2 linked regions of the Neodiprion lecontei genome follow. The protein of the gene in region 1 interacts with the protein of each later gene in a pairwise test. Links are inferred from orthologs where the notes say so. Each region holds a gene or a part of one and is shown on either strand. Other genes may lie near its edges. The genes, in order: cyclin-dependent kinase 1 and G2/mitotic-specific cyclin-B3.

Region 1 (5,411 bases):
TTTGTAAGTGTTTTTTCTTTTTGATGTTCCTTTTTTTTTTTCCATTTTGACGAAATATATCTTGATACAAGAAGTCCTATTCTACGATGTTACGAAAAATATTTTGTAAGTACGACTTATACCTACATTGTACAGTAATACTAAAATGCAGTGGCTGTAGAAAAGAAACTACAATTATTTCACGCATGAATTTTTCCAACTTAGATTAAGTTTAAAATTAATTCATTCTCTGCAAGCCGGCTGACTTACGTATACATGGTATGGGATGAATCATGCTTAAAATTTTGCTAGTGTGAAATTCTATACTTGGGATCTTGTAAATAAAATTCTATATTCAGAAAGAAGTAAAGGCGAATAAGAAAAAGTGATACAAATTTTCGACACATTTTAAACTAGAACGATTTTTCAACTTTTTTTCAAGCAAATTTCGAACTAATAGGTAATTTTTACACTCCTGCCATTTCTTGTAAGTTCCATACTGGGGAAGGTTCAAGATTCAAGAGTGCTGGATTCAATTACTTCAGTGGCAAGCACATGGTGCAGTCACTTAGTGTTTTCAGTGACTTATTGTTTGATGAGACAAGCTGCAATGCAGTACAGAACAAGTCTCAGTTCCTCATTTCATGTGTTTCAAAAAATTCTTCATAGTTCTACAATGTAGCAATATGCACTGCCTCACCTCTCCAATTAATTCTATCGCCTCTGGCATTTGACTACGTGTAATAGCAAGACCAGTTGTTGCTGTATCAGTTTCATCTTTTCGGAATGAAATATTCACGAAAGAACACTTGTGAATAGTCTAAGGCTTTCTCATTTTTCCCAATTTCACAGCTTCACTTACAATTAAATGCATATCGGACCTCCCAGATTTGCAAGGAAATTCATGAAGTTACATTTTACATTTTTCTTCTCCTGAGCAGCAACAATGCTCCAAACTTTTGGAAAGAACAAGATGTATAATCGCAATTGCGTGATTACTGGGAAAATGTAGGGAAATTGATGCTCGCAAGATGTTAGGATTCACATATCAGTAGCGTGAGCGAGAATTGGCTGCAATTGCTGGTGTTTTCGTTATCTTCCCAAATCATTCCCAATGACAACACGACCGTAATTGCAAACTGTACCATTTCCCAAAGGACAAAATGGCTTCATTGCCCAGGAGAGAGAAAAACTTGTAAAACACGATTAGCTCACAAGACCGTTTACTGTGATGTTGAAAATTTCTTTTAAATTGCAATATGAATATGACAATGGACACTTTTTGCTGTGTTTACATGATAATGTAAAGCCAGTAATTGTTACGGAATTTAAAAAAATATGAGGAAATCAAAAGTTTCATTCCAGTTTGTAAAAATCACAGAAAATTGGATTGTCTAAAACACGATGTTTATCGAATCTAACCTGGTTGAGGACCGTTGACAATTATTTTTGCGCGCCGATCTTGTCGTGTGTGGTTGTATGGAATGCAAAATCAATTGCGCGCGTTAGGTTCACGAGTATTGGGAAGTAAACTAGTGTAAACGTACGTTTCACTCGTTTCTATACTCTCCGTGGATAGCACTAAGCGCTGACAGATGTTACGTGTCCGTACGAAGTAAAAGGGAACGGGATGGCACGGCCTGCTGCCGCATTCGTGCCATTCGTACCCATGCACATATACATGATTTATTTTCCTAACTTTGTATGTGTCGGTCAGCTTACCCTGGTTACACGGAAGCAAACGTGCGGGCTTACCAAGCAGGAATCATTTTACGTTCTTTTTTACTCTGAGAGAATGTCCCGCGCTCCGCCAATGCGCCGGCGCAGGAAGCAGCTGTCACATGAGACACGCGTTCCAATTGGCTAATACCACCGTATAACTTTACCGATAATCTTGTTTACACGTGTTTACCAATATGGCGACGACTCCGTTGCCGCATTTGAATTCGGACGTTACTTTTTGTTTGCAGGCGTGTTAAATCTCGAAAATACAGTAGCGATTAGGCAATTTTACAAAGCATTTCACGGTTCAGAGTGCCCGCGTCAACTGCGTGAATGATTGATCAAAAAATTAGCATGGAAAACTTTGTGAAAATCGAAAAAATCGGCGAAGGTGATACGATTTGTTGTGCATCATTCCAAGTGTAGCTGAAACTTGACGAAACTTTACCATATTATGGTTTACCCTTATTTTACTTTCAATTATCTGTCCTTGTTACTCGCAAGTCAACCGTTTCTAAGTCAGAAAAGCATTCAAAACCCATTTCATATTGTTTGATTCGAGGTCCTCTTCCCAGTTATGAATTTTGTTCCAGTTACTAAACACTTTGAAATGCTACTATTCAATCAATTATTTATGCTGTGTAATTTTACATAGCATGTGACGCGCTTTTGGCACGTAGTTTGCTTTTGTGTATGCTTTTGATTTAAAGTTGCACGAAAACCGGTATTTTTCATTCATCATGCTTAAAGATAGGAGCAACACCCTGCTTTCTTGAAATACAGTTTAAATGGAATCGTGTAGTTTATATTTCGTTTGTAAATCTGCACCCGCTGTTCTGAAATACTGTTATTAATACTGCTGTTTACATGAATAACGATGAAGTTAGTAATGTTACTATAACAATGCATGTTTCAGAGAAATCGTTACTTCGCACCTTTAAGATCATTTGAAATTTGGTAAACCAAGATATACAAAACATATTTACATATATTTCGAGAACCAAATTCCTTGAAAGTAATTCGGAAATTGTAGAGTGATAATTTTTCTCCTGGTGTTTTGTTACATTAACGTTACTAACTTCAGCCCCTTTTACATAAAGCCTAGAATTAACGTTAGAATCATTTCAGAAAAAGATTATATCAATTTAAATTATCAGGAACCTATGGTGTTGTCTACAAAGGAAAAAATAAGAAAACCGGACAAATTGTGGCAATGAAAAAAATTCGACTAGAAAGCGACGATGAGGGAGTTCCTTCGACTGCAATCCGAGAAATATCTTTGCTAAAGGAGCTACAGCATCCCAACATTGTTAGTCTGGAAGATGTTTTGATGGAAGAATCACGACTTTATTTAATATTTGAATTCTTATCGATGGATTTGAAAAAATATATGGATACTTTAGGCAATGGAAGATTGATGGAACCTGAAGTTGTCAAATCCTACTTGTATCAGGTCTGTATTTTTTTTTTTATACATTCCTTGCGTCGAGCGTAATAAATGAGAACTAACATGTGAAATGTAACTTGCACTGTTCCGTGTTCTCTTCTCATCAGATAACTCAAGCAATCCTGTTCTGTCATCAAAGACGTGTATTGCACCGTGACTTGAAGCCCCAGAATCTTCTTATTGACAAAAATGGAGTAATCAAGGTGGCAGACTTTGGATTGGGTCGAGCATTTGGTATTCCTGTGAGAGTGTATACCCACGAGGTGGTAACTCTCTGGTATAGGGCTCCTGAAGTTCTCTTAGGATCAACGAGGTATTCCTGCCCGATCGATCTTTGGAGCATTGGCTGTATCTTCGCTGAAATGGCCACAAAAAAGCCCCTCTTCCAAGGCGACAGCGAGATAGACCAGCTCTTTAGGATATTTCGGTAAAACAATCACATACCTAGGAAGCCGATTGAACATTGATTTTATACTGTGATTTAGTAGCCTTTTACTCTGAATGAAACACATGCCTTATGTTGGCAACCAGAGTTAGGAACAAAATAATAAAATCGGTTTTGCCTTTTTGGATCATTTCAAGGTGGATCATACGTTGCGACTATACTTTTTTCGGTAATTTCCCTAGAGTACTGCGAACCCCGACTGAGGAGATATGGCCAGGCGTGACACAGCTTCCTGACTACAAAGCGACATTCCCGAACTGGACATCCAACAATCTGGCATCCCAAGTCAAAGTGATAGATGAAGAAGGTCTTGATCTTTTGCAAGCGATGCTGGTGTATGATCCTGTGTATAGAATATCTGCAAGAGCAGCTCTGCAACACCCCTATTTTAACGACTTGGACAAGTCGAAATTACCGTCAAAGTGAACAGTGGTGAAACAACGAAATTATATACTTTACTTCATAGTTTGCAAGTTTCTCACATTACGCCGGCGTTTAAGCAGGTTCCGCATGATCAGATGGTTCCTATTTAATTATCTTCAAATCTCACATAATTTCAGCTGCATGCTGAGTCTATAATACCACTTAAAGTTTAATTCAATCATCGCAGTTCTTTTTTTTGTTTTCGTTTTTGTTTTTGTTTATATGATTTTAATTTTGTCTTTTTAACCGTAACATTTTTAGTTTTCGCATGACAAGATGAAGAATGAAACGAAACCAGACATAGTGTGTACCTGAATAAAGTTCTCCGTTGGTTACAAATACCAATCGTTCTATGTGTAGGAACCATCTAGAGAGCGCTATTAAGTACTATACTATTACGTATTCCATAACCAGTAAGATATCTAAGTTTTTAGTATTATATCTTCTGTCATTCACTGAGTTGGTCTAATTTTAAAGATAATTATATTTTAGATGAACAAGTTAAATGAAGTAGAGAATAAAAATGTCGAAAAACTATGAACGAAACGGAATGAAAGGAAAACACTTTGTGGTATCAAGATTTCGATGTTCCATTCAATAATATTTATAAATGTAAGATAATTTTATTGAATGGAACTAAAGCAGACGTAGATCTTGAGACTACAAATATGTACATAAGTTGGGAAGAGTAAAAAAAAAAACGAAGTAGAAGACCGAACTAAGTGGTCAAAATTAGTATTCATTCGAAATAAGAATATTTTTGTACTTTCTTTACGACGAGAATATAAAATAAGGATCAAAATTAACTTCGCGTTTTAATGATATTTGTATATCCCGAATCAGCTGCAAATTACGCCATTCGGATGCCAATTAACAACCAAGTATAAATTTCCTGCTTGCTTTCTAAGATTCTATATCGCAAACCTACGCACAAATTACGGTGTTTGAAAGATATGTATGAAAAATGAGGTAATTTAACGCAAATTCAGTTAGTGATTTGCTCATCCAATGACTATTTAATTGGAAAGAGTTTTTTTCAACTGTTAAATAATTTGTGAATAACTGAGTGGAAGTTGTGGACTACATGAAAAGCGTGCAAACGTCAGGTAATAATTGAAAAAAAGAAAAAAAATAACACATAACATTATTGTAATTATCAGTTGATCAAACCCAAACTAACAATTTGATCAGGATTGATTATGTTCACTTGAAAATTTATTTTTCCGAAAGCTTATTCGGTGCGTATGTGACAACGTTTTACGGGAAACACAAGCGATTGTCAACCGTGGACTGAGAAAGAAATTAGCTTAGCCATATGAGCGACTCAATGCTTCTGCGAAATATTCTACGAATGAAATTGTATAAATCAATCATCGTATAAATGTCTCCCCTCAT
Region 2 (7,006 bases), on another chromosome or scaffold:
ATCATTGAGACATTACTGATGTGGTTTCACATGCGTACTTTTGATTTTAAAATTTTTTGCCGATATAATTTCAAATTTTACTCATATATAAAAAAAACTCTAGGTACGAATTACAACTAACTAGCATTAGTTAAAATACATGTAGTTATTGTTAGTTCAGTCAGGAATTATTTTACGTAATATTGGGATTCTTATCACAGATTGCAAAGACATTCGAAGAACCGACTGAGAGCTGGCAAACATTTATGGTTTGACAAAGAAACAAATAGTAATGGATTGGTTATATTTTGTTTATTCAACTCTTTTTTGTGGTCGAATTTCATTACGCCCCGAGCAATCCAATAAGCACAAGGCACAAGAGGATTAGAGCTAATTTCCGTAAAATTCTTCAAAATTTACCTTCTACCCTGGTGGTATCATTTTTACCATCGCATCAGTCTGTCAGTCTCACCATCATACCACTGGAACGAAATTCCATAACAATGCGCCACACATGAAAATTTTCTGCATTTTCAACCTTGTTCCGATAATTCTAACTTTACTATTTAGATGCGCTGCGAACGATAACGCTACCTTTATTATTCTTATTAATAATAATTATCATTTATCTAATATATTAAAATATAAATGTAGAAAAAAATATAAAATTAATCGGAATATATATGATAGCGTAATAAGACCGATATTAAAGTGAAAAAAATTATTCTAACCGTCAGAAATGAGTCATTAGTTCTGAGTAAAAGCGTGTGGCGCTAAAAGAAATTTTTGAAACAAGAGGGACAAAAAAAAAAAAAACTAAAATAATTCATAAATTCTGAGACTGTAGAGTATCATTGAAATATTAGTCATGTACAAATAGTTTAGGAATAAAAGGGTAATACTTAGTGTACATTGGTACAAACTCGGCTTCTACTTTGATAAAAATGTGCATATAAATTGTAAAAACTAGTTTCAAGTTTCTGCGTCAAATATTTCTAGAGTTAAAATGTAAAATATACGAAAAAAAAAATTGGAAGAAAAAAGGTCGTAGCTAGGTAGTAATACTTAAAGTTTTTCGGTTTCAATTCTTTTCTCTTGCTTTAAACGGGGTACAGTTAGATTTTTAATGTTCAGGTTTGAAAAACTTTTGGAATCCTAACCAAAATTGTAAGGTTGGTATTTCAGTTAGGTTTATTTTATTTAAAAAAAACCAGTCAAGCCCCGTATCTAACTACTAATAATACGGTACTTACAAGTCTAACTATATATCTAATACTTCTTTCAGTGGCACTTTTGCGACTTCGAAAAATATTCTGAAAGAAAAAAAGCGGCATTGTTAGCACATTGTTCGATTAGTTATTGTAGAGATTAAAAGTTTATTAGGCAATGAGCTGGTAACGTTAGGCAGATTATATTAATTCGATTTACTTATGACTGTATTTGTTGCGAACTGTTGCTAATGCTTCTTTAGGTTTCCGGTGTAATCCCTGATTTAGCGCCAGCACGATTTCTTTAATCTCCTCAAGTTTGAGTCCCGTATAGTATTCTAAGGTTGCATTCCAGCCACCTAGATCCTTCATTTGCAAAGCAATGAATAGAGCAGCGGCTGCCATTTTACTATCGCTGTACATTATTGTTGCGTAATCCATTAACGAATACTCCAAGATGTAACGAGCCAGGGTTAGAGTTGGCATAGAAACTTTGGCACACTGTTCATTAAACCAATAGTGAATTAACAATTCATCATTTTTGAATTACTCGTAAGTTGAAAATCAGGTTCTAATAGTCCTTCAAATCAGTTTTTCATTCTTACATGTTATAATAGTGCGTAAGTACAAACCCTGGCGTATCTTCTGAGGAACCTGTAAGAAAGTGGAATGCCTAGGTCGAAGTCGATAATTTTCAAAACGTTAATTTCCATCCTAGTTAGTTCCCGACGCGTGTATGCACCATCACAGATGTACAAAAAGTCGTCGACCATAGGCGGAATTCTTTCCTGTTGATAGTGAAATTTGAGTAACTAGAACTAATAATTGGTTTCCGAACTGTGTTTTCAGTAGGAAATATCATAAGACTCACGTCAAATTTGCTTGCGATGAATAAACTTGCTGCACCTAAAAGTTGGAGCGTTTCTTTTCCAACCGTCACTTTAGTGAGGTACAAGTCTACTAATTTAACAGCTAGATACAAAGTCTCGTGGTTTAATTCAAAGGATTCTTGGACCTCAACCATCCAATCGACAAGTAAAGATCTCATCCATCGAGATAAACAAACTTGTCTTTCCATATAATCGCCAATCAGGAACAATGGCTAATAGAAATAGAACAGATAACCTGTTTATGCTAAGCTAAAATACATAAATAATGAATTGAACATTCCGCAAACTGTTTCATCTGAATTTAATTTACACTTGAGGTTAGTCAAAAGTAGAACAATTAAACATTTACCTCCCGGCTTTTGAGGTAATTAAACGTGTCCATTGCATAATAAGAAACTTGGTAAGGATCAGTCCAATTTTCAGCATCAAAATCCCACTGTACACCAGTGGGTAATTTGTTAGTAGGCGGAGCATCTAGGCGAGTTGCAATCGAAAGAGTAGGTATTTTTGGATCAGGTGAAGCCTGCACCTTCTCTTCCGGCTCTTTTGCAGTACCATCTTTGGCATCAACCTTTTATGGAGAGAAGATAATGCTAGAGATTACATATCAGGGTGGTCTTTAATTAGAATATGAATGAATTTTTCTGCAGCTATTCTTCAAATCAATGTAAAACAATTTCCAGCTCATTTTGAAATTGCAGCTTTCTATCTTAACCATCATCCTTCCTTCTACAGAGCTAAATCTTTCCAGTAAAATTTGTTGGCGAATAAATTCTGCAATACTTAAGTGAGAACCATTATTGTGTACTCGAATTGTTCGAAATCGCTTCTTCTCACACATGTAACAAATTTTTTGATTTTAAAATTACTTTCTATCCAACAGATTTTTTTATTTACCCTAGAATTACTCTGTGTTGATTTTTTCAAACTCTCGTCAGCGTCTTCTAAAGCACTCACATACAGCGAACTATCTTCAGACTTTTCCAGATCTAAACTGCGCCTTGCATTTGCTATTTTAGCTGGGACTTCTACTTTATCATCTTCCTTTTTTTTGGCAGGTACACGTGCAGGTGGTTTCGGCTTGATTGGCACAACATTGTCTGGCTTAGCTAAAATCTTTCCTAGGGACTGTAGGGAAGTCGTGGATGGCTTGTTTTGGGTCGCTGCTTTCTTTGTGATCTTTTTAACATCATGGACTTGTGCGCCTAAGGACTTGCCGATGGCCTGTAAATGTCGACAAATGCGTTTTATTCATCAGTTTATTGATTATTTAGTTTTAATTAAGTTTAGTTGTCTAGTTTGGTACTGATACTTTATTCGACTGTTTGGAATCATTGCTTTTCTGACTTACATTGGTGATATTTCCTAATGCTGATCTTTTTGTTGTCTTTTCTTTCAAGGGAGAGGCATCTGCTTTGCGTTTGATCCTTGGGTCTTTTGCAACTGTCAGGTGCTTAGTGTTAGCTATTGAATTGTGACTTCTAGTTGTGATTCCTTTACGTATTACTATGCCAGTGGTATTCTGTTTGTTTTGGCCATTTAACACTTTGGTTGGAGCCATTTTCAGTAATACGTAAAGGGACAGTCAACAGTTCCCCACAAAGTTCTGCAAACGAATTATTTAAATCAAACACCAAATGGTAAACCTATTTTTTGCCGTACATGAAGGGAAATTTCTCATTATATTACACTATGTACAATACATAGCATTTAAGTTTCTCTGTTTTAGTAACCATTACGTAAGTTTTTGTTACGAGGTTTTTTTTCATACTAGTTTGTCAAGTTTGTGATCTTTTTTTCTATCAGTTGAAAGAAGTATTTCGGATGTATTGACTTGTCACGTGATTACGCGACGCTATAACCTCAAAAGTAAATGAATTTTAACGTTAACAAGTAAATGCGAAGAACTGATTCTTATGCACTAGAATTGAACTGTTTGCATGCAGATTTGACAGTATTCTTAAACTTGACGATTAGCTTTAGTGAAAGTAAACAGTAGCGTTTTTATTTTATAAAATAATGCGATATTTTCTTTGGAATAAGTCAAAATTAAGCGTAAGACAACTCCTCTAGTTACATTGTAATAGACTTTGTCATATTTTTTGTAAGAATTTTAGGTACGGATGATGTAAGGTGAAGTGATTATCTAGCGACATTTTGGACTAGAGATCACGGTACATTCGAGTCAGAAATCAAAGGAATTTCAAAATTTTTCGAGGGTAACGAACGAACGTCCCGTTGGTCGTTGGCATCGCCCAAAATGCCAGAGAATTTATTTACCGCGAATATTTCGATATAATTGTGTAATTATCAAGGCAATCTTCATAAGGACTCGATGGGATGAAGCACGGGTGATAAAATAAGTGAAAAACATGAAATGCTAATAAGGATATGATCTACAATTTGGCCAAAGGATCCACCATTTTTATCGTGACCTTAAAAGCGAAAGATATAATTTGGGGAATTATTTCTCCACATTTCTTCACATATATTCGTTACAAGGATCAAGAGAAGCCACGAGACTTTTACCTTAATATTTATTATTCAATTCCTTGTGCCTGGGTCGTGTAATTTTTTTCATTTAACAAAAATCCGTCAACAACTGGTACGTTACTTTACTACTTTCCGCTCGTCTTGACTCAAGAGCAACTGAAGTTGACGCTGGTTCAAAATATCACAGTTAGAGATTTCGCGACATACGATTGGTTCAATGATTTTTCCACGGTCACGGCCCCTAGCGACGACCCATGCAACTAGCAATCACTTGACCAAATGGCTGCCGAGCATGACCGTTTTACTTCTCAGTACGTCTTGGTACGTCTGTTGACCGATTAAAACGAAGACCCGAAATCTTTCTAATTCATTTTGAGGTGGAGAAAACCGTCAACGTACATATGAATTACGTAATTATTCATTTTCAGAACTATTTGCATTACCGGCGGCGAATGAAGAAGCGTTGCTTGTCGCGCAACAAGTAGCCGCGGTGACCTTGCGTCTCGGGTGCCAACGATACGATCGTATTTTGTTTGTAAGCAAGGTCCACCACGGCCGCGGCTATTCGACGTTGAAAGACGTCATTATTTTCATCAATACGTGCGGAAAAAATGCAGGCTGAACGATTCACAGTTAAATATATCACCGTCCAAAATTGCTTCGTTTATTTACCAGCTACTTGGCAACGACAGCTTGCGACAAAGGTATGATCCAATTCATAGTTGTTCAAACCTGACTGATTGTTATTACGCGTCCATTTTGTTTTGATATCTTATCAATATGCGCATTTACTGTTTTCTGTAACTGTAAATTCCATTCATTATGTAACTGGACGTATATCTTCTTACCCTCTTCGAGTATCTAACTGCAGTCGTTCACAATACATTAACTCAATTTTCCATAGATGGCGACATAAGTCAATAATGTCAGCCCTGAACCAAAATCGGGCCTATTCAAATGAATCTACATGAGTATTGTTGATTGAATTACAGCCTAATGCCATCAGGATCACGCATCATGATCGCGACTTTTATTTCTCTTGGCACTCTCAGCCGAGTCCAGATCAATCCTTAAGGCTCAGTGCAACCTTTGCAAGAGCCTTGGGCATTCAAGAAGGAGATAATGTTCTTGCATCGTCTGAAGCTCATCCATCTGCTGTATCTAACGTCACTGTCATGCCAAAAAGCTCCGAAGACTGGGAAATTGTGGTGAGTTTTTCATTATTTTATATAGAATTTTAAACCTTAATGATGAATGTATAAACTTATTTTTTATTTATTTGGTTATCTGTTACATAGATTTGGTTTTACAGGAATTGCAGAGCAACAAAATACAAGAGTCATTACTAAACCAGATCAACATTGTCGCGGTGGACCAGCAAATTGTTGTTTGGATATCAAAGTTCCTGTCTGTTGAATTACATGTTGGTGAGTATATTTAATAATACACAAATGTTTACCCACAAGCCGATAGTGAGTTTAAAATGGTCAATCTGTCGCCAACAGGGATCTTGATCATAATTCCTAAGATCCAAAGTTTCCCTTTATCGAAATACCAATTCATTTCAAAAACTCTTACACAAGGACTAAGAAAAAAGTAATTTTTCACTTTTAAGGCTCACTTTTTCTCTTCAGAGTCTGTGGAACCTAGGTACAGGTATGGAAAGCTTCAACCGTTCACAGAGATAACAGTATCATTTCCGAAAAAGGAAGTAAAAGAGGATAAAAAAGAAAATTCATCTGATAGTCTTTGGGATACGTTTAAAAATGTGGTGCCGAATTTGTTTTCTGACACAGATAAGAAAAAAGAGGCAAATATTGAAGAATCTGTTGAGAATATAGTGGGAAAATATTCAAAGAAGAATATCATTCAGACTTTCCGGGTCCTACCTGTAAAAAGGATAGAAGACACAGAGGCCATGAGCACTGTAGATTCCTTATTGAGACAGCCGTACAATATTTTTATTAATCAACGTTTTTTACCAAAGAATTTCCATTCTGGAGAGATTTATTGCCGAGTTAAGAAAGTGAGGCAGAATACGCAATTCGTTAAAGCAACTAACACGAATTATTTGCGAACTAACAATACTGCAGGACTTAATTTAATAACAGAAGTAGTCGCCAAAATATTTGTACTGGAAGAGGTTTTGAAAAAGTGTTCATACTGTATTGACAGAGAATATTTTGCCAATAATTTGCTTTATAAAAGCGTCTACGTGTCGGAAAATCTCAGGCATAATCTCAAGTTAAAAGTGGGTGCTAAAGTCACATTAGAATTGATTGAATACTCAGTGCAGCCTGTTACGGCTATAGAATTATTTCCACAAAACAATCCAGTTACTTTGGAAGATTTTGAAAATTTCCTCAAAGAACAATCGATATATGATAAAGTGCTTATTAATTCATTATCCGTGCTGAGTTTGAGGAATGATAAGTC

Evidence for each region.
Region 2: the proteins of cyclin-dependent kinase 1 (region 1) and G2/mitotic-specific cyclin-B3 interact in binary tests that used the Drosophila melanogaster proteins (3 or more experiments, as listed by UniProt). The link is inferred for Neodiprion lecontei from reciprocal best matches to the Drosophila melanogaster genes Cdk1 and CycB3.

What each region holds. Positions count from the first base shown.
Region 1 is NC_060262.1:35,222,719-35,228,129, forward strand, and holds cyclin-dependent kinase 1, read left to right. Parts: upstream 1-1,836; 5' UTR 1,837-2,034; coding exon 2,035-2,092; intron 2,093-2,858; coding exon 2,859-3,154; intron 3,155-3,255; coding exon 3,256-3,575; intron 3,576-3,775; coding exon 3,776-4,019; 3' UTR 4,020-4,822; downstream 4,823-5,411. UniProt on the Drosophila melanogaster protein: Plays a key role in the control of the eukaryotic cell cycle. Required for entry into S-phase and mitosis.
Region 2 is NC_060261.1:33,960,166-33,967,171, reverse strand, and holds G2/mitotic-specific cyclin-B3, read right to left. Parts: upstream 5,114-7,006; 5' UTR 5,014-5,113; intron 4,787-5,013; exon of another isoform or gene 4,607-4,786; intron 3,684-4,606; 5' UTR 3,639-3,683; coding exon 3,429-3,638; intron 3,302-3,428; coding exon 2,975-3,301; intron 2,649-2,974; coding exon 2,427-2,648; intron 2,290-2,426; coding exon 2,059-2,289; intron 1,976-2,058; coding exon 1,820-1,975; intron 1,689-1,819; coding exon 1,408-1,688; intron 1,293-1,407; coding exon 1,241-1,292; 3' UTR 752-1,240; downstream 1-751. Other genes in the region: peroxisome biogenesis factor 1, read left to right, coding at 5,182-5,274, 5,563-5,778, 5,883-5,997, 6,205-7,006. UniProt on the Drosophila melanogaster protein: Cyclins are positive regulatory subunits of the cyclin-dependent kinases (CDKs), and thereby play an essential role in the control of the cell cycle, notably via their destruction during cell division.